3 linked regions of the Lonchura striata genome follow. The protein of the gene in region 1 binds, or shares a complex with, the protein of each later gene. Links are inferred from orthologs where the notes say so. Each region holds a gene or a part of one and is shown on either strand. Other genes may lie near its edges.

The links. The genes of interacting proteins can lie anywhere in the genome.
Region 2: TAF3 (region 1) and TAF11 share a complex: the UniProt entries of both Homo sapiens proteins name them as parts of the TFIID basal transcription factor complex. The link is inferred for Lonchura striata from reciprocal best matches to the Homo sapiens genes TAF3 and TAF11.
Region 3: TAF3 (region 1) and TAF10 share a complex: the UniProt entries of both Homo sapiens proteins name them as parts of the TFIID basal transcription factor complex. The link is inferred for Lonchura striata from reciprocal best matches to the Homo sapiens genes TAF3 and TAF10.

What each region holds. Positions count from the first base shown.
Region 1 is NC_134607.1:68,966,997-68,974,400, forward strand, and holds the start of TAF3 (transcription initiation factor TFIID subunit 3), read right to left. Parts: upstream 3,017-7,404; 5' UTR 2,950-3,016; coding exon 2,784-2,949; intron 1-2,783. Other genes in the region: ATP5F1C (ATP synthase F(1) complex subunit gamma, mitochondrial), read right to left, coding at 6,105-6,111, 6,924-7,020. UniProt on the Homo sapiens protein: The TFIID basal transcription factor complex plays a major role in the initiation of RNA polymerase II (Pol II)-dependent transcription.
Region 2 is NC_134632.1:4,361,425-4,368,727, forward strand, and holds TAF11 (transcription initiation factor TFIID subunit 11), read right to left. Parts: upstream 2,335-7,303; coding exon 2,167-2,334; intron 2,096-2,166; coding exon 1,956-2,095; intron 1,823-1,955; coding exon 1,735-1,822; intron 1,572-1,734; coding exon 1,475-1,571; intron 897-1,474; coding exon 766-896; 3' UTR 504-765; downstream 1-503. Other genes in the region: ANKS1A (ankyrin repeat and SAM domain-containing protein 1A), read left to right, coding at 2,928-3,124. UniProt on the Homo sapiens protein: The TFIID basal transcription factor complex plays a major role in the initiation of RNA polymerase II (Pol II)-dependent transcription.
Region 3 is NC_134604.1:116,987,400-116,993,699, reverse strand, and holds TAF10 (transcription initiation factor TFIID subunit 10), read left to right. Parts: upstream 1-4,083; coding exon 4,084-4,264; intron 4,265-4,586; coding exon 4,587-4,738; intron 4,739-4,894; coding exon 4,895-4,959; intron 4,960-5,061; coding exon 5,062-5,176; intron 5,177-5,630; coding exon 5,631-5,720; 3' UTR 5,721-5,797; downstream 5,798-6,300. Other genes in the region: TPP1 (tripeptidyl-peptidase 1), read left to right, coding at 1-176, 386-584, 1,783-1,971, 2,058-2,130, 2,378-2,498, 2,606-2,764, 2,834-2,971, 3,550-3,690. UniProt on the Homo sapiens protein: The TFIID basal transcription factor complex plays a major role in the initiation of RNA polymerase II (Pol II)-dependent transcription.

The DNA of each region.
Region 1 (7,404 bases):
CCCCAGTGAGTCACCTTCTCCCTACCCTGGACTTCAGGCAATCAATTATCCATCCCAGCTCCAACCCCTGCCAGACCCAACTGCTCTGACCTCTGCCCCAGGGGCCCTCCAGGATTTCCCCATCACTCATGGAGCAGCAGCTGCCTACAATGCCACAGCTCTCCAGCATGCCAGAGGAAAGGGGAACATGTCCCTCCTGGCACAGGAGGCACAAGCAGCCCTGTTTTCCCAGGCATACAGCCTACACCCACCTCTCCGGAGTACACCTGCTCCCCAAAGTCCCTCTGCTATGGAGATCCCCCTTCATCTCCTTCCTAATTCTCACAGATGCAGCAGGAGCACTGGCAACCCCATCTCTGCATACGAATCTCTGCCACATGACACCCTCCCTGTCCCACATGGAGGGCAGCAAAGGCCTCCACACACAGACCCATGACCCTCTCACCACACCCACAGCCTGAGCCTTGCTCCTCATTCCCCACATTTCCTGTGTTTAGAGCTGGCAGTGACCCTGACAGCCTCCCTCTCCCTGCAGATTGCCACCTCCCCACCCCTTCCTGACCCACCCAAACCCAGCACACCCCTACCACCCTCTCAGCCCCACTGGCAGCATGACTGACCAAGCAAGCAACTGGACATCCCACCCTCCAACCCCCCATGTTCTGCAGGTACAGCAGGACATCCAACCCCTCAGTAGCTCCACTGCAGGCTCTGCAGGGACACAACACTGCATCCTCTACCATACACCCAGACCCAACAGTGCTGCTCCCTTCCCAATCCCATTCCACACTCCTGTGTGTGATCCAGCCAGCAGTCCTTGGCACTGATTCCCAGGCTTCTCCTCTTTCTCTTCTCCCACTTCCTGTAAACTCAGCCCTTCCATGCTCCCAGCCCAACACAACCTCACCTCAAATCCAGTGAGGCCTTGGGCATCACTTCCACTGCCCTCCACCATCACTTCCAGCTCCCTCTGTACCACCTCCATGGCAGAGCTGGCTAACTCCAGTCCCCCACACATCCAGCCAAATCTCTTCCTCTGCCTCCACACAAGGACACCCATACCTCATGCCATGTGCACTAAATTATCCCCAGCCCAAATCCACCCTTTCTGCACTCCACAATTCCCATGTGCAGCCATGCCACACTCCCACATCCTGTGCACTACAGCTCCACTTCCCCCAAAACACATTAGGGCATCCTTGCCTTCCCACATTCCCCATACACATTCCCCAGTCCCACAGTACCACTGCTTCCCCCCTGTACACAAACATTCCCAGAGCACCCCAGCAACAGGACTTCCAGGCACACCACTCCCTCCCCATGCAGGAGGGAGTCCAAGCCTTCCACCCTCCATCCTCAGCACTTCCCCTTGGGCCAGAATAGGAAACCCCACACACATCTCCACCTGCAGTGGGCCCCTACAGCCCCCTCAGGCACAAAAGATGACCCAAAGATGAGCCACGACAACACAGCACCAAATCCTCCCATGTATACATCCCACCAGGAAAAGAGGCTGGCTGCCTCTTCTCCTTCCAGTTCAATCTCTTCCCAGATTCAGAACATCCCAGCAATAGAGCCAAAACTCCCCTCTCCCCCTTCCCAGCACCCTGCACGCTGTAGCCAGAGAGAGTGGGACAGCACCCCCGTGTTCCCACATTCCAGACCCACTGCCACAGAGCCTCCTTTCCTCCAACCCCAGCCCCACAGTCCCAACTCCTCACCCATACCCAAACCCACTGCCCCACAGTCCTCCGTGGCACCAGGACCCCCTTGCTTCAGCACTGACCCTATGCCTTCCCTCCCCATCCTCCCAGTCCTGTGCACTGCCCCATGGCCCAGCTCCCCTTCCCCAGAGCCCCCAGCCCATGGGCTGATCTTCCATAAACCCACTCACTGACCCAAAGACCCCAGCACTGCCCAAATCCCACCTCCCCGCACTCTTCTGCCCTGCCCAAATGACCACACCTCCATGACCCTCCTCTGCCAAGCATCCCCAGCTCCTGGCACTCTTCAACAAGCAGCAGCTTCCAGCAGCCCTCCCCACACCTCCACAATGCTACCCCACAGCCTTTCCCCACAACCAGGGCCCCCAGTGCTGCCCAAACCCACCTCCTGTGCCCTCCTGCCCAGTCCCCAGACCCCAATGCTGCCCAAACCCACCTCCTGTGCCCTTCTGCCCTGTACCCCAGACCCCTGCCCAATCTCACCTCCCTGTACCCTTCTGTCCTATCCCCCAGACCCTTGGCTTGCCCAAACCCACCTCCTGTGCCCTTCTGTCTGTCTTATCCCCCAGACCCCTGCCCAAACTCACCACCCTGTGCCCTCCTGCCCTGTCCCCCAGACCCCAGCAGTACCAAAATCCCACCTCTCCGTGCCTTCCTGCCCTGACCCCAGACCCCAGCAGTGCCCCACACCACCTCCCTGTGCCCTCCTGCCCTGCCCAAGCCCCAGCAGTGCCCCACAGCACCTCCCTGTATCCTCCTGCCCTGTCCCCCAGACCCCAATGCTGCCCAAACCCACCTCCTGTGCCCTCCTGCCCTGCCCAAGCCCCGGCATTGCCCACACCACCTCCCTGTGCCCTCCTGCCCTGCCCAAGCCCCGCACCCCGTGCTCCTGCCCTGGCCCGCCAGTGTCCAGCGCTGTTTCCTTGGCAGGATGGCCGAGCCCGGCAGGGCTCACGGAGCTCACTCAGCCCGGACCCTGCTCAAGCAGGGCCACCCACTGAGGCCTCCGAGGACCGCGTCCAGCCGCATCCCCCCGGCCCAGCCCCAGCCCACACTCACAGAGCTCGCAGTAGCGGTGGCAGCCCCGGCCCAGCCCCTGCAGGTACCGCTGCAGCACGTCGGTGAGCAGGTCGCAGGCCGAGACCTGCACGGAGTCCCAGCCGAGGGCCTGGCAGATCTGCGCCACCGACACCCGCAGCAGCCAGCGGGAGTAGGTCTCGCACATCCCGCCGGGGCCGGGGGCCGCGGGAGCTCTCACGCACCGCCCGCCGCCGCCGCCGCCATCTTGGCGCCGCCCCGCCCCCGCCAGGCAGCGCCGCTCCAGTGCCGAGCGCATCGAGCGGGGCGGAGCGCGGGAACGCCGCCCGCAGCAACCGAGGCCGCGGCCCGCAGCGCGCGGGACACGCCGGGGTCGGACACGGAACACGGGCCACTGTCGGTACCGCAGCGGGACACGGAACACGGGTCACTGTCGGTACCGCAGCGGGACACGGTAAATGTGCCGCTGTCGGTACCGCAGCGGGACACGGTACATGTGTCACTGTCGGTACCGCAGCGGGACACGGTACACGTGTCACTGTCGGTACCGCAGCGGGACACGGTACACGGGCCACTGTCGGTACCGCAGCGGGACACGGTAAATGTGCCGCTGTCGGTACCGCAGCGGGACACGGTACATGTGTCACTGTCGGTACCGCAGCGGGACACGGAACACGGGTCACTGTCAGTACCGCAGCGGGACACAGTACATGTATCAGTGTCAGTATCGCAGCGGGACACGGTACGTGTGCCACAGTCGGTACCGCAGCGGGACACGGTAAATCTGCCACTGTCGGTACCTCAGCGGGACACGGTACATGTGTCAGCGTCGGTACCGCAGCGGGACACGGTACACGGGCCACTCTCGGTATCGCAGCGCCGCTGAATGTCCCCCACTGCCCCAAGGGATCGTACAGGAAGGATGCGACAAGGCTGTTTACAATGGCTTCGAACTGAGAAGGAGTTTTTGATGGGATATGGGGAAGAAATTCTGCACTGTGGGGGTGATGAAGCACTGGCACAGCGTAGCCAGAGAAGCTGGGGATGTCTCATTCGTGGTGGTATTGAAAGTCTGGTGGGATAGTGAAGTGTCCCTGCCCATCACAGCGGGTGCAACAAGGTGATCTTTAAGGTCCCCTCCAACCCGAACCATCCTGTGATTCTATGGTCTCTATAAATAATCTCAATATCTCTAAATAAATATCTCAGAGAGCTGTCAAAAGGATGGTGTCAGACTTTTCTAAGTGATGAGCAGTGACAGGATAAGGAGCAATGACCATAAGAAAACCAAATCACAAGGAGTTTCACCTCCTCAGGAGGAAGAACTTCATTACGCAGAGGGTGGCAGAGCACTGGAACAGGCTGCCCAGGAAGGTTATTTTTCTCCCTGGAACAGGCTGCCCAGGGAGGTTATTTTTCTCCTTTTTTTTTCTTTCCAGCTGGATGGAACACCAAATTGGCAGCAATAAGGAAAAAACTGTTTCTCGATGACTTGTTTAATTGGGGAAAAAAAAACAAGTAGGGAAAAGGATGGAACTCCGGTGGCAAAAAGGATCCAGAAACAAAATTTACAGTAACTGAGTGGTGTAGGAGGTGCAAGAAGGAGCAGCGCAGCTCTTACTCAGTGGTACCTGTGGAGATACACAAGAGCTAAACTGTAACTCAGTAGTTGTGTGTAACTAATCAAGAGCATGGAGGACAGAACTGTAAATAACAGAACTCTATTATACTATATTATTACTCCAGTATGAAACCCTAATTAGTTCATAAATTAGCACTTTAGTTTATGAGTAGTCTGTTGTGTCAGTCACACATCTCACATCTGCTGCCTGAAGAGCAGGACCTGGACCCCGAACAAAGTCCTGAAGCTCCTGGTTTGGTTAACAGCTCAAGGTCCTGAGGGTGGTGCCCTCAGAGCTCCATACTGGGACCAGTATGAGCTTCTCTGGGCAACGAGTGCCAGGACCTCACCCCCTTCACAGTAGAGAATTTCTTCCCAACATCCAATCTATCCCTGCCCTCCATCAGTTTAAAGCCATTGCCCCTCATCCTGCTGCTCCATGTCCTTATCCAAAGTCGCTTTCCAGCTCCCCTGGAGCCCCTTCAGATGCTGAAAGGTCTCCCTGGGACCTTCTCCAGGCTGAAAACTCTCAGGGTTTGAGAACAAACTCTCCTCAGGAGAGGTGCCCCAGTCCTCCAACATTTACATTTCTATACACACACTGACCATGCAATAAACTGTGCATTCTAAATAACCTCTGTAGTGACTCAACCAATCACATCACTTAATTTTAAAAATTCAACATCTGCTAACAGTAGCAATACAAAATTCAAATAAGAGATATCAGTGTTCTAGCTGTGTGATGCAGAGGTTATTCCAGTCTCCTCCTTGAGCCCACAATACAATGTACCTCTCAAAGTAGATCATTTTCAAAGACAGGGTGAAGTTAGAAAATCTCTTCCACTCTTCAAAAGAAACATCCACTTACATGTTTCACATGGCATATAAACTAAAAGTATAGAGCACAGACTTCTAAGAAACAAAGTTTCAAAGCACACCCAAGCCCAACCCAGATATTTAGACTCCAAGAGCATTTGCTCCACAGACAAGCAAAAGGATCTGTTTCACGGAGGTCGTTTATTGTACGAATTTACAAATTTCTGGGGCTTTTCCACTTCTTCACAAGATAACAGAGCAGTCTTGTTAACACAGACACAGGCAGGCTAAACCACATATGCTCAGAAGAGCTCCTCTTCACCTGTAAATAAAATTGAAACAAATCAAAATCCTTTCATCTATTTATTTATTTTAAACTGCTATTTTCCCCAATTTGAATACTTCATTAATATTCCTCACCACCCCCCAACGATTCATCACATCTATTTTTTTCTTACATTTTAAATTTTGAAATTTTCCTTACATTTTAGATTTTGAATATGTTCATGTTAATACAGAAACCTCTTTATGTATGTCTGACATACAGACACCTTTAAGTAATTGCATAAAGTCAGACCACTATACAAATATTCAAACAGCAATTGCAAATGAATCCAACAATAGAGAAAAAAAAACCACAGAAAATTATAACTCATCTGGGATTATGCTACCATGGACATATTTTCCTTAAAATTACTGAAAAATAAGAACTCTTTGGACAAATTCAAACTAAAAATGTCCAATTTCACAGCTCTTTAGGAAGGAAAGCTTCTGTCTGACCAAGACCATTTAATTCTGTCTTCCTCATCTAACTTTGTATTTTCTGTGTTAATTAATTTTAAAACACAATCCAACTTCTATGACATAACTTTACCTCTTGGATTTGGCTGAACCGCTTTTTCCGATTAATCCCTGGTTATGGTATTATGAGAAAAAACAAAACAAGCAGGTTAGGAAGCAACTCATGCAAATTCAGGCAAAACTGCACGGATTTATGACCACAAATGTATTGTGAGGAGCACAATACAGCACCAAAATAATATAAAGTACATATTCCAGGCATTCTGTAAATACACAGGATATGAACACATGTATTTCCGTACAGAGCACAAATTTTTAACTGTTACAGTAGTACATGTGAGCTACATGCAGTTACAAATTGTGGTCTAACCCCACACATTTGTAACCTGCAGCACACACCTGCACAAAGCCTCATCCTCAGGCAAACAAGCAAAATACTAAATTTCAAGTAAAATACATATTCCATATAAAAGATTCCGGAAATTCCCTCTTTGTAAACCCAGACCCAAACTCTCAGCTTCTGAACACCTGATTTATCCAAAAGCATTTCAGTCACATCATTTGCTCTCCCCCACTCAACACTACTGGGTTATTTGACCAGGCAAAGCAGGAAATGTCCAGGTAAAAAGGAAGAGGGGGGAAATCCACCAAAGGCCAGAAGGAAAATCCTCACCTCTCCAGGCAAGGATGCCTGGTGAGGCTGAAGATCTATTTTACCAGCTTTTAAACTGCATTTGATCAGAAAAAACTGCCAACTTCGCTCTGGTTAGTAGAACTGCGCAAGCTGAAAAGCTTGGGAGCCATGCCAGGGACTGCCTTCCCTCTGGTTTTAGGACCTACAATCCCAAAGTTTGCCTGTTACCCTGGCACACAAGAGCACATGACTGCAACAGCTCTGACTGCACGTTCATACAGATACTCACAGAGCAGCAGCACCAGAGATGATCTCAATGAGCTCCTTGGTGATGACGGCCTGGCGGGTGCGGTTGAACGTCAAGGTCAGCTTGTCAATCATCTCGGCTGGAATAAGGCCAGATTGGAGTTTAAACACAAAATGAGTGTATAAATGCAGATACAGAGAAGCTCTATGGGCACAATATCCAAGTTATTTGCAGTGGTTTACAAGACACAAGAGGTTTAGTGCACCTGACATTTTTTCCCTGCAGGTAATATTACCAAGAAACCATCTATAAACCAGCTTGAGAACTAAGCTTGTCAGTCAAACATCTGCAGAACAGCTGGCAGACTTGTAAATACCAGGCCTGACATTGCTTATTGTAACATAACACAAGCAGGCATCATTAGCTTTGGAATTAGATTTCACTGTCAATTAACTGCATTGTTATTTCCTTCAAGTTGTGGCAAAAGGAGAGATTTTTCTCCATTATTTTTTTCTCAATTATT
Region 2 (7,303 bases), on another chromosome or scaffold:
GTGTAACCCAAAACCCACACGTGTGGGAGGACAAAACCTCCTGGGTCCCCACAGATTGTAAATATCAAAGTTTACTTTGTGGAGCCTCTTATTTAAGGATTCTTCCTCTGTTCCAGTGAGAGCCCACAGGTGCCATGGGAGAGCACGTGGTCTCAGCACCTCTCACAGGGTCAGGAGCAGCTCCCAGGGCCCCTGGAAGGGGACAGGGGCAATGTGCAAGTCTGAACTTGAATTTGAATTTTAGGCAGTATTGCAACTTTGCTGCAGTTTGTTTCCACTGATGGGTTTATTGGTTCTATGAACCACGAGCAGAATTAAACTCATTAACCTCCTTCCAGGCTCTGGCCTCTTTTCCTGCTTTTCCCTCCCCCTCTCTTCCCACTGCTGCTGTTTTTTGGGCAGCTTCTGGATTTGGAAGCACAGCTGAACCCTGATTTCAGATGTTCCCAGGGAATCAGCTCTGGGAGCACCTTGGGTCACACAAAGAGCAGATCCCAGCCTGGTTATGAACACAAGAATAAGTTTAATGCACTGAAAAGAAAACCCACACATCTGGGCACAGATGGCACATCTGGGCCAGCAGAAAATGCTCTGCAGCCCCTGGATGTTGCTCTCCCCAAAGTCCAGGTCAAGGGTGCATCCAGGCTCTGCCCAGCACAGGCAGGGACAGCAGGAACATCCTTGAGGTCCCACAGGTCACCCCAAAAGGGCCTTAGGGAAGAGTCCACGTGGGAAGGTCCTACAGGAAGCTTATCTCAGCCTCTCTCAGTGGAAAATGATCTTTTTGTACTTGGAGTTGGGGATTTGCCCCCGTGCCTTGAGCCTCCGGACAGCCTCCCTCATGTGCTTGGGCTGCAGGGGGGGCAGCTCCCCCCACTTCTCACACACATCCAAAGCTGGACAGATAGACAGACAGACACACAGGTCAGGGCAGGGGCCAGCTGAGCTCTGCCCAGCCCCTGCTGCTGCTTCAGTGCAGTTGGGAAGGAACAGGAAATGTTTGTGCTTGGGGTTTGCACCAGCTCCTCCTCCCTGACAGGAGTCCCAGGGCAGCAGGCAGGACAAAAAGCTGCTGAACCCCTCAGGAACTGTGGAGGGGGTGGAGGAGCTCAGAGCCTCTGGGGGTGGGTGGGCTGTGAGCCCCAACAGCTGAGCAGAAAGAGCAGGCTCAGCTCCCTGTCCCAAACTGATCTGAGCTCATCCCACAAAGGAACTGGGGCAGGTCTAGAGGCTTTGGAGCCACTCTGTCCCTGCAGCACTAATGGCATCCCCATCATGCAGCTGCTCTGGGGCTGAGGGACGGAGTTGCCAGCCCAGCTTCTCTTCCTGAGGAGAAGCAGCAGTGCTGGGGGATCAGAGGGGCTGTGGCAGCTTCTGCTGTGAGCCAGAGCTGCTGGAGAACCATGAAAATCCTGTTCCACACCCTGCTCCAAGCAGGGAATTCACCCTAGCCTCTCAGCAAGGTGCCACTCACCTTCTTCCACCACCTCCCCAACAAACACCTTGGAGATGCCCGACATGGCAATGACGACGTTCTGGGACACGGAGGTGCCGGTGATGGACTGGATGAGCTGGGACAGGGACAGGGACAGTCAGATCCCCACCCCCGTGACCTCCCAGCCCATCCAGCCCCTCGGGGAGCCGCGGCCCCAGCTCCCGCTGCGGGGATTGGAGCTGGAGCCCCCCGGGACCGGCCGTGGCCCAGCCCCGCCGGGGCTCCGGCCGCTCTCGTACCCGTTTGATGGCAGCCTTGGGGAAGGCAGAGCGCCGGTACATCTCGTAGCGGTTCAGCTGCTCCTCGGAGAAGGAGGAGACCAGGATCCTGCGGGGCACGCAGCGATCGCTCCCAGCCCCGCGGAGGCCGGAGCGGGGAGCGCCGGGCTGGAAGGCGGGGAGGGGGATCTGGAGGGGGCTGCGGCACCGGGGCCACGATTCCCGAACCCGCAGGCACTCACTGCATCTTCTGGATCTCGTCCTCGTCCACTTTCTGCTTCTTCTCCTTCCGCTCCTTCAGCTCCAGCTTCACCTTCCGGGCCGCACCCGCCTGCAGCCCCGGCTCCTCCGCGTCCGCCGCCTCCCCCTCCGCGCTCCTCACCTGGGCGGGAGCGCAGCGCTCGTTCTGCGGCCCCGCCGCCCGCCCCGGCCCCGCTCCCGCTCCCGCCTCACCTCCCCGTCCGCCACCTCCGCCTTCAGCTCGCTGCCGCCGCCAGCCTCCCGCACCTCGCCTTCTCCCGCCGCCTCTGCGGCCGCCGCTTCGGGCGGGGAGGCGGCTGCGGGCGGCGGCTCCGGCACAGCGGCGGCGGCACCGAGCGCGTCCCGGGCCGGGTCCGCCATGGCCGCGCCCGCGGCGCCTCCTGATGACGAAACACTGCGGGCGCCGCGAGGGGCGGGGCCTATCGCCACGGGAACGTGACGCGGGGCGCCTCGTGATGACGCACGCGCACCGGCGAGGCGGGGGGGCACGGCGTCTGTAGTCATGGCAACGGAGGTGCGACAGCGCGTCCCGATGACAACGAGGGCGGTGCCTGTTGCCGCGGCAACAGCGACTCGGCAGCGCAGCTTAATGACGCGCGGGGCCGGGCTTGTCGCCATGGCAGCGGGGCTGCGGAGGGGGCCCCGTGCGGGCCTCACCCCCGGGCTCTGCGCGCCCGGACCGACCAACCCCGCTCCGAGCCGCCCTCCGCACGCCTGGACCCTGCCGGGACACGGCGCTAGGGCGGCCCCGCGGGGAAAACTCCCCAGAGCCGCCCGAAACGGGCGCGGCCGAGGCACGGCGGGCACCGCGGGGGGCGTGGCCGTTACAGCTCCCCGCCCCCGCACCGCCCATCCATCAAACCCCGCCCGTCGGGCCGCGCCCTCCGAGGCCCCGCCCCGGCCCGCCCCGGCCCCGCCCCGGAAGTCGCGCGGGCGGCGGGGCCGCGCCGGCCATGGGGAAGGAGCAGGAGCTGCTGGAGGCCGCCCGCACCGGGAACCTCCCGGCCGTGGAGAAGCTGCTCTCGGGGAAGCGCCTCAGCTCCGGCTTCGGCGGCTCCGGCGGGGGCGGCGGCGGCGGCTCGGCGGGGGGAGGCGGCGGCGGGAGCGGCGGGAGCGGCGGTGTGGGGCACCCGCTGTCCAGCCTGCTGAGGTGAGCGCGGCCCGGGGACGGATCCGCGGCCCGGCGGGGGCTGCTGCCGCTGGCTGCGGCGCTGCGGGCCGGGAGGGCAGCGGGAGCCGCGGGTGGCGTGTGTGGGGCTGGGGGCGTCTGGGGGGTTTGGATCTTGGGGTGCAGCGAGGGGGCTGCTGGGGCCGCAGCGCTGCGGGGCAGGCCGGGGTCTGTCCCCGCTCTGCTCCCCGGCTGGGACGGGACACTGCAGCGGGGCGTGGGAGCTGCGCACCCCTGAGCGTTTGGTGGGGCCGGTGATGCCGGGGGGCCGTGCCAGAGGGAGCTCCTCGGGCTGCTGTGCCCTCCGGAGAGGGGAGTGGGTGACTTTCGAGCTGTCTGCAGCCGGCAGTGCCAGCGCTGGGTGCTGCCCGTCCCCCCTGGCACCAGCCGCTGCGGCGCTGGGAGCTGCGGTGTGCCCGGGGAGGCTCCCGCACTGCCAGAGCTGCGGGATGACTTTCGCGAGGTGTCCCGGCCCTGCGCTGGCATTGTCGCGGCTGGCGGTGACACTCTGTCGTGCCTGGGCTCGGCTCGTCCTCAGCCCCATGCTGTGGAATTTGCTGGTTGAAGCTCTTGGACTTTTGTTTCTCTTCCTCGTGTTTTGGCATCACCTCTCGCTGCTGGAGCTGCAGCTTTGGGCACTTTGGGAATGCTCCTGGTCCCTGAGCAGTTGGTTTGTACGGGAGGTGTGGAGGAGGTTTGTGTCCAGTGCCAAGTGATACTGTTGCTACACAACCTGGCTGTTCAGAGAGATGTGACTTGCCCCTTTTTGGCCAAATTTCATCTGTTTTTCCTTTCACATAAACCAGTTGGATCCCTGCAGGTTGTGCTGGTGGCAGAAGCTTGCAGGCATGCGAGAGCTCACCCTGCCCTGGGGCACACGTTTGCCTTTCTGAAACGTAAATCTACCCTTGGGTCGAGCTTTGTTCTTCTCTTTTGCTACATTAAACAGTCTGAGCCCTTGTTGGAGTGGGATGGATGTGCCCACAGGGGCCTCAGATCAGTGCAGTGGCTCAGTGCAGTTGAACACCCTGTGAGCTGAACCAGATCCGCCAGTGCCCAACAGCACCTGGGCACGATGGGGCCTTTTTCTGCCTTTTCCTGGACAGTGCCCGTGGTGCCATGGTCCTGGAGCAGTCCCGTGGTGCCAGAGTGAGCCCGGCTGTCCCTTTGGCTCTGACCTGTTACTGTTTCTCACATGTGGACACTGCTTCGTGCACAGCCTGAAGGAGGGTGCCTGTCACAGCTGTCACTCGTTTTCCATGCTCACAACCATGGCTGTAGCTGCTGGTGACACTGGACCTGCCCCTTTCTCTGTACAGCTGGGATTTGTGCCTGTGACAGCAGTTCCTGGTCTGGCTGCACACTGTGGGGCATGGCAACGTGTCCTGTTTGCCACCTGGTGCTATTTAGGAGCTTTGTGACTGTTTCCCACCTCCCGAGCACTTGCTGGGCTCTGGCTCTGTTATGGACTCCTCCAGCTCGTGGTGAGGTTTTGATGAGAAGCAGCTGCTGAGTGTCCCTGCAAGGAGAGGCCAGGGAGTGCAGGAGACAGGCTGGGACAGGCTGCAGGGACCAGACAGATGAATTTTAGGGTGGAGAAAACATCACCTTTTCCAATGCTAGAACATGGGAACTTTTCTGATGTAGGATTTTGCCCTCCTTGGTTGTGGGGAGAAGCCTGCCCTCAGTCAGGCCTGTGTGCTCTGTGTTTTCCCTTCCTTGGGCAGCCCGTGACCCTGCTCAGGCTGATCCCTGCTCCTGCCAAGGCTCCTCGTGTCCGTAAGGATCTCTCCTGACACAGGAGCTGCTGAGCTGCTCTCCACTCCCAGAGCAGGAACATAAACACTCTGCTGGGCTGCTACCTTTGTTCTTTTCTCTGCCTGATTTCAGGACCCTATTTTAGTTTCTGTTTAAGTCCCACTGTTTGGATAACCTGCTCCCAAAGCTCTTCTCTCCTGAGGTGCCTGTTGCAGCTCTTTTTGTCAGTTCTGCCTTTCCAGTGTCTCAAAGATATAGTTTTGGATGGGGTACAAACCAGGCATTCCCTGGAATTCCCACATTACACCTGGTACATGCTGTGCTGGCACCTGCTCTGAGCTGGCACTCACTGGTTTGGGCCATTTCTCTTCCAAAGAGAGCAAGTGCTGCTCCATGAAGTGGTAGAAGATGGCCCTGGCAGTAAATTCCTTGCAATGTGGTGTTTTATCAGGTAACCTGAATTGCCATTGGTCTGTTATCAGTTAAATGTGAACTTTGTCACAGTCTGGGCTGTGCTGCTCCTTCCCAGGCTGAGCAGGGCCCGCTGGGTGTGGAGGCAGCACAGATTCCAATCACCTATGGCTGCAGGTGAGCAGGAAACAGAATGGGATGGAGTGGGGTAATCCACAGGAGGAGGAGCTCCAAAGACAATTTAAGTCTCTGGAGGGGTGAATGTGCCAGGTGCAACACTCAGGGCACTGGGCAGGAGAATAAATCCTGATGGGAAGCTGATGGGAATGGGGAGTGCTGACAGAGAGCTGGGGAAACGAGGAGGATGCAGGAGGGGGAAATGGGAGTGTGGATCTGCCAGAGCAGATGGTGGGCTCACAAAGAGGTGATGGCTGCCAGGCTTTGGAAGGCTCGGCTCCCTGCTGGCGTCCACGCAGCCCCTGGGATCTGCCAGGGCCTGGGGAGCTGCTGCAGGCCTGGCCCAGCAGTGGGAGCAGGTCCTGGCTCCCTGGCCAGGCCCGGCTTCTCCGGTTCCAGCCATGGACCGTGGCACAGGCAGGAGCTCCGTGTGAGGAGCCAGAGAGAAAACCCACTCTGTGCATGCACAGCTTGAGGCTTAAGAGCAACAGCAAGTCCAGAAATCAGAGATGGTCTGTGAATCCTTGAGGTTCCTTGGGGTTATGAGCCACTTCTGCATCGAGGCTGCAGAATTTGATGTATTGTGGTTTTTTTTTTTTAGTGGTTTACTGTGAAGTTAGGGGTGGGAAACAACAAAACAGTCTGTGGCTGAGCTATCAGGCTGCATTCAGGAGGTTTTGCCAGGAGCAATGAGGGATGGGTTGTGTTAAAGCCAAAGCTGCAGAAGCAGCTTTTTATTTCCATCTATTGCTGTGAAAAGTCTGGATCTGTGTTGCCAGAGGGGGAAGCTGAGGCTGCTGCTGAGCCCCAGATGGGATATGCAGTCCCCAGGGAGCGTATCAGGGAGATGCTTCTGCTGGGGATGAGGAGTTTGGGTGCACGTCTATTGTGGGAAGGGTCGAGTGCTGCTCCAGAGAAGCCACAACCCTTGCTCCAGCCCATTTTCAGCTGTTGCTGCTGGTGAGGGGGTCTGGTTGGTTTAAAGAGTGATGTGGCAGGATGGCAGAACACTTGAGGTGGCTTCCAACAGTCCAAGGGTGGTTAGGAATCAGAAAAAATTTAAAAGTGGGGTTTGCTATTTGTTCTGGTGCTGCTGATGGTTCACAGCAGGGATCTGATGGTGCCTCCTGGGGAAGGCTCCGACTGTGCCTGTCTGCTGCCATTCCCCGGGGAAGGCACACGGTGCCAAGGATTTCCCCCTGGGGAAGGGGGGGATTGCCCTGTCCGAGGTCAGGGCCGGGCTGTCTGTCTGTCCCTCCAGGTGTCCCCAGGCCGTGTGGGTGAGCACACAGTGAGTCCTGCAGTGTCCGGCAGAGACAGCAGCAGGATCACCGGGGGGCTCCAAGGTCCAGCTAACCCAGCCTTGTGCAAGCAAGGTGCTTCCCTCTCTTGCCTTTCCCCATCACAAAGGAGCTGCTCCTGCTGCATTCCCGCAGAACAGGGCAATGCTGGGTCTCCCCCTCATCCTGCTGCTGTGATTAATCATCTCACCCACTTTAAACCTTCTCCACACCCTCCCGTGCACACGGCGCTGTGGGACTGAACCCTCTTTAATTACACACCTGAGCACAGGGATTGCTGAAGGTGCTTGTGCTGGGAATTGTTTCCTAAGTACTTCTTTAAGAATTCAAAGGCTGCAGTTACTGGCTGGGACTCTGCAGTGTTTTGTCTCTGTGTGATCTTGTCCTGCAGTTTTGGAAAGTTTTTGCTTGCTTGCTCTGCTCGGTGCAGTTCTGTGTTCAGGGCTGGGTCAGGAGCATCAGACTCTCCTTGCTCAGTGGCACTTGGGTAAAGTGGGTAAAGCAGAACTTGTGG
Region 3 (6,300 bases), on another chromosome or scaffold:
TGCACCGGTTCCCCACGGAGCACAAGGCAATTAGCAGAGCCAGGGCCAGGAAGGACGCAAAGCTGGCACGAGCATCGTTCCACCTGGGCGTGACACCGGCTGTCCTGCGCCAGAGATACAACATGACAGGGGGGGATGTGGGGCTGCTGCCCAACAACAGCCAGGCCTGTGCACAGGTAAGCACTGCCTTGTCAGAGGCATGTGTACCGGGGCAGTCCAAGGGTTTGGTGCTGGTCTGGGGGTCTTGGGACAGCTGGGTGTCCCTCAGTGGCTGCTGGGAGCACCTGGTGTAGCACAGACCCGTGCTGGGCAATTTCCTACGTCAGGATCAAAGCGTTACCTTGTTTTTTTGAGAGGAGACAACCTGTCCCTCTGTATCCCACAGTTTCTCGAGCAGTACTTCCACCAAGCTGACCTGGCTGAGTTCATGCAGCTCTTTGGCAGCGGCTTTGCCCACCGCACGCAAGTGGACCGGGTGGTGGGGCACCAGGGCCGTGGCAAAGCCGGGCTGGAGGCCAGCCTGGATGTAGAATACATCATGAGCACGGGCGCCAATGTCTCCACTTGGGTCTTCAGCAACGCAGGTACTGGGGAAGAGCCACGAGGGGCAGGGGGAAGGAGAGCACCCAGAGAGAGGAGGGGAGGGCCTGGAGCAGGGAAGGGAACATTTGGAGGTTTGAGGGAGGGGGCTGGAACAAGGGAGGGGAGTGCTGGGAGGAGTGAGGGGAGAGCTTGCAGGGCTGTGCAGACAACTGGCTGTAGTACTGCCCAGGTGCATCCCCAGCTGCTGTGGGAGCGGACCCTGTGTGCTCCCCAAGTCAGAGCTGGCACCGCATTCCCAGCTCCTAGGGACATCACTCCTGCTGTGTGTGGTGACTTTGAACTCTGTATACCTTCAATCTTCAGAGTATCCTGAAGCAGGGTTTCTGTTGCTAGCACCATACAGAGCAGCTGCCCCACTCAGCTCCATGAAGGAGGGCACAGCCCTCCTCCCGTGGGGTTTTCCAGCTCTGCTGCAGCTGAGCTCCCACCCACGAGCCTTCCAGAGGAACAGATGAGGGAGAGTGAGGGAATTGGGAAAATAAATTGCCAAACAGCCTACACAAACACAAACAGGGCACAGTGCTAGGGGCAGTGTCCTTGTCCCAGACTGGGAACTGGCTGAGCAGGTGGGTGCCACAGGGACAGCAGCCCTGTCCCTGATGGTGACGGTGACAGCAGATGAGTGCTGCCCTTCCCTCCGTCCTCACACAGTTACTGGTATGGGAAGGATGCAGATGAGTGACATGGGTGACCGAGAGTGAGTAGGTGTGCCTGGGACGCTGCTCCCCTCCCAGTGGAGAGGGCTGGGAACAGGGAGGGACCTGGGCAGGTGCAGGTGGAATGTGTGGAGGTGGCACATGCGCTTCTCTTCTGGGACCTGTTGCCAGAGGAGGAGCTGAGGCCCTGCTGGGCCCACAGGTGCCCATGTGGCTGCAGCCCTGGGGCAGAGTCTCAGAGAGGAGGTGTGAGTGTAGCCCCCTGTCCTGGGCTGATGACAGTCTTGCCAACCCCATGGGCTGAGCTGAAGCTCAGTGCTGTCAATGTGAGGAGCCCCAGGATGAGCTCACGGAGCTCCAGGCCGGATGTGCTGTGACTCCATGGCCCACAGGAAGGAGCACTTGGAGCTGCACTGCGAAGGAGGGTGCTGGTGCTGATGAGGCAGGGCTCCTCGCACTGTCTCCCACTGTCGCTGATGTCGGAGGAGCTATCCCACGTGTCCCTTCCCCGATGTCCTTGCAGGGCGCCACGAGAGCCAGGAGCCCTTCTTGGCCTGGCTGCTGCTGCTCAGCAACATGTCAGCGCTGCCCTGGGTGCACTCGGTGAGCTACGGGGACGACGAGGACAGCCTGTCCTACGCCTACATGGAGCGTGTCAACACCGAGTTCATGAAGGCGGCGGCCCGCGGCCTCACCATCCTGTTTGCCTCAGGTGCAGCTGAGCTCGAGCACCGAGTGGGGCTGGGGAGGGGGTGCCTGGGGCGCCGTGCTCACCTGTCACCTGTTCCTGTGTTGCAGGTGACGACGGTGCTGGCTGTCGGCGAGAGCATGGCGGGAACCACACGTTCCGGCCCAGCTTCCCGGCCTCCAGGTGGGTGCGAGGGGTCAGCACAGCCCTGCGGAGGCACAGCCGGCCCCGGCCCCAGAGGGGTCTGAGCTCCTGAAAGGTCACCTGAGGGTCCTCACCAGCAGTCGTACAGAGCCCAGAGCTGCAGCCTGTGCAGCTGCGGGATTGGTTTGGTCTGTGGGGTGAAGGTGTGGTAGCAGAGGGGGCTGTTGGTGGCTGCTAAGGCCCAAGCAGCCTTGTGCCCACCGGCAGTGTCCCCCTGCTTCCCCAGCCCCTACGTCACCACCGTGGGTGGCACGTCCTTCAAGAACCCCTTCCTGGTGACGGAGGAGGTGACGGATTACATCAGCGGGGGTGGCTTCAGCAACGTCTTCCCCATGCCCGAGTACCAGGTGAGGGACACCAGTGCCGCCAGGCTGGGGGCTGCAGACGGGGCTGCAGGGTTAGGCTCGGGGGGGACAGTGGCCCTGGGGATGCCCACAGGCCGTGCTATCCCCAGGCCGCTGCTGTTGGGCATTTCCTGCACTCAGCCTCGAAGCTGCCGCCCAGCTCCTACTACAACAGCAGTGGCCGTGCATACCCCGACCTGGCTGCGCTCTCTGACAACTACTGGGTGGTGACAAACCGCATCCCGCTGCCCTGGGTGTCGGGAACCTCGGTAAGGAGCTCACCCCCTGCTGCCCTCCAGCACGGCGGGGCCCTGGGCTGAGCGGTTGTGCCCACGCAGGCGTCCACACCGGTGGTGGCAGGCATGGTGGCACTGATCAATGACCGGCGCCTGCAGCGGGGGCTGGCACCCCTTGGCTTCCTCAACCCTGTGCTCTACCAGCTGCAGAAGCAAGGGCTTGGTGATGCATTCTACGATGTGAGCAGAGCAGGGAATGGGCTGGAGGGGCTGTCCTGGGGGCTGAGGGGACTTCGGGTGTTCTGATGTGTTTGGCTGAGGCCTGGGGTGGGCCCATCCATGGGGCTGGGAGGGCCGTGTGTGCTCCAAGGGCTGTCCTGGGGGCTGGGGGTTGTCCTGGGGTTCCTGCTCCCAAAGCTGTGCCTGGGGCAGGGCCAGCAGTGTCCTGCTGGGGGGCAGGAGAGAATCCCTATGGCGTTCCCATGGGAGGGGGTCCTGGGGTTGGCCTCGACGTTTCCATGGGCGTGATATCCTTGGGGGTCCCTATGGGCTTCTGTGAGCTCTGTGGGGGTCCCCATGTCAGATGTCTGGGGGCCCCTGTCCCCAGGATTCCTGTCTCAGGGATGGCAGGGACAGCTGTCCCTGGGTCCTGGGGACTGCGGGCAGGGTCCCTGTGCCCATGCTACCCCTGTCCTGGGTGGTCCCTGGGCCCTGGGATCCCTGTCCCAGGCCTGTGTGGGGCTCGGGTGCTCCAGAGGTCGCTGTCCCGAGACTTGGGGGGCGTTGCCGCGGTCCAGTACTGAAGCTGGTCCCCGCAGGTGATCCAGGGCTGCCACCTGTCCTGCCTGGATGGCACCGTGCAGGGCCAGGGCTTCTGTGCCACCCCCGCCTGGGACCCGGTCACGGGCTGGGGCACCCCCAACTTCCCGCGCCTGCTGCGGGCGCTGGGGCCGCGCTGACCGGGGCCCCGTGGCATGACCGCGGTGCCGGGCAACGGGGCACGGACAGCGGGACCGCACGGACAGCGGGACCGCACGGACAGCGGTGCACGGGCCGCGGGACCGGACAGCGGGACCGGACAGCGGGACCGGACCGCGAACGCCGCGGAGCTGGGGGCGGAGCTGGGGGCGGAGCTGGGGCGGCGGGGGCGGAGCAATAAACAAGCGAAGCCCCGCCCACCGCCTCTGTTTGGACCCGTGCGGGGCGATGAGCGTCGGAGGGCTGAACCAATGGGGGGCAAGGCGGGGGCCCAACGGGGCCAATGGGACGGCGAGGGGGGCGGGGCGAAGGAGCCGCGGGGCCAATGCAGCGGCTCGGCATGCGCAGGCGCGGAGCGGGCTGGCGCCGGGACCATGAGCGGCAGCGGCGATCCCGACCCCGCGGCCGCGGCTCCGGCTGCCCCGCCGGGCCCCGCCGACGGCAGCAAGCCCAGCCCGGCCGCCGCGGGAAGCGCCGGGCCCGGGGCGGCGCCGGCTGCGGGGGGCGGTGCGGCGCGCGCCGCCGAGGGCTGTGCGGCCGGCGGGAGGGGGCCCGGTGAGTCGCGATGGGGGCGGCGGGAGATGCGCCCCGCTCACGGGAGCCCCGCGGGACGCGCTGAGTTACTCGGGCCGTGGGAGCGGCCCCCGGGGTGTTCCGGGGTGCCCCGGGTCCCGCTGGGCGTGTGTCTTGCGGTGCCGGTGCTGTGCGCGGGTCTAGCTCTGCCCGTGCTGTCCCGCGGTGCCGGTGCCGTGCGTCGTTCTAGCGCTGACCGTGCTGTCCCGTGGTGCCGGTGCCGTGCGCGGTTCTAGCTCTGACCGTGCTGTCCCGCGGTGCTGGTGCCGTGCGCCGTTGTAGCGCTGACCGTGCTGTCCCGTAGTGCCGGTGTCCGCGGCCGTGGCCGCTCCCCCGGACGGGGCCATGTCTAACGGTGTGTACGTGCCGCCCGCGGCCAACGGCGACGTGAAGCCGGTGGTGTCCACCACACCGCTCGTGGACTTCCTCATGCAGCTGGAGGACTACACTCCCACGGTACCGACACACAGGGCGGCTCCCGTGGGACGGGACGGGATGGGACACGGGGCAGGTCCCGCGGTACTGGGGTACAGCGCGGCTCCTGTGCCACGGGACATAGGATGTAGAAACGCTCCGCGGGGCTGTGCAGCTGTTCCAACTCTTCCCTCCCAGATCCCGGACGCCGTCACAGGGTATTACCTGAACCGGGCAGGGTTTGAGGCCTCGGACCCCCGCATGTGAGTGGCCGCAAGCTGGGGGGGAGAGGCAGGAGCCACGCAGGGTCCGGCAGAAGGGCCCGCGGACCCTGTTGCCTCACCAACACGGTCCCTGTCCCGCAGAATCCGCCTGATCTCGCTGGCGGCTCAGAAGTTCATCTCGGACATTGCCAATGACGCGCTGCAGCACTGCAAGATGAAGGGCACAGCCTCGGGCAGCTCCCGCAGCAAGAGCAAGGTGAGGGGCTGGGGGGAGTGGGGAGCCCTCCCTTGGGATGGGGCTGAGCCGCAGCCACCGAGTGCAGGAATGTGGGGTGTAGAAATCCCAACATCTGCGGGCTTATGCTGGGTCCCTGCGGGCGGGGAGGGGCTGGCGGGGACACGATGGGGGCATGGAGCTTGTGGACACCCTTTGGTGCCCCTCCACCCCAGCAGTGGTTGCAGCTCTGGGCTTGGGGAGGAGCTGGAGTGAGGGGTGCTGGGGACCCTCCTAGTGCCATATCTGGGGATCAGGGGCTCCGCAAGGCCAGTAGGATTTGGTGCTAGTTGTCCAGGGATATCTGCAGGGAGGTGGGCATACCCCAGTGCTGCCCAGCAGCTCCTCTGGCTGTGGGACACGCCTGTCCCTGCACTGTGGGGGGTCCCACGGCCCCGGCTGTCCCTGCTGTGACCGCCTGCCCCATGTCCCTCAGGACAAGAAGTATACGCTGACCATGGAGGACCTGACACCGGCGCTGGCTGAGTATGGCATCAACGTCAAAAAGCCGCATTACTTCACATAGAGCACGGGGGAGCTTGGGCAGCTTGTAGGGGTAGTGTCAGTGCCATTAAACACCTCACAGGGTTTTGTGGGAAGGCAGCCTTGCTCCTGTGCCTGCGTCCTCAAGTGCTGGCCCTGGTCCTCCACGTGCTCACCCCCCTCTGCTGGTCAGAGGGGGCTCGGTGCTCCCAGCAGTACTGGAGCAGAGTGGGGTTAGGGCACAGGGACTGCCCAGCACTCTTCCTTCTCCTCCTTCCCTAAACTGCCCCTTGTCTCCCACAGGGAACACCATGGGGGCTGCACAGGCAGCACGACAAATGGAGCCAGGGATGGGACCCTGAGCCCACCCCTCCTGCACCAGGCCCCTCCCGAGGGGGCCCTGTGCCTATCTACCCTACTTGTGCTGGGCACCAGAGGGTTGCTGTGGGTGGTGACTTGTGCCCAGGGCTCTGTGGGCTGCAAGGTAGCCCCATGTCAATCCAACCCCACCCTCAGTCCTAGACATCCCCTGTGAGTCTCAGCCCCCCAGTCACTCCAGCCCCCCACCCCAAACAACTCCCCCCATTCCTCCGCCCCGTACCCCAGCAGCTGGTTCCATACCA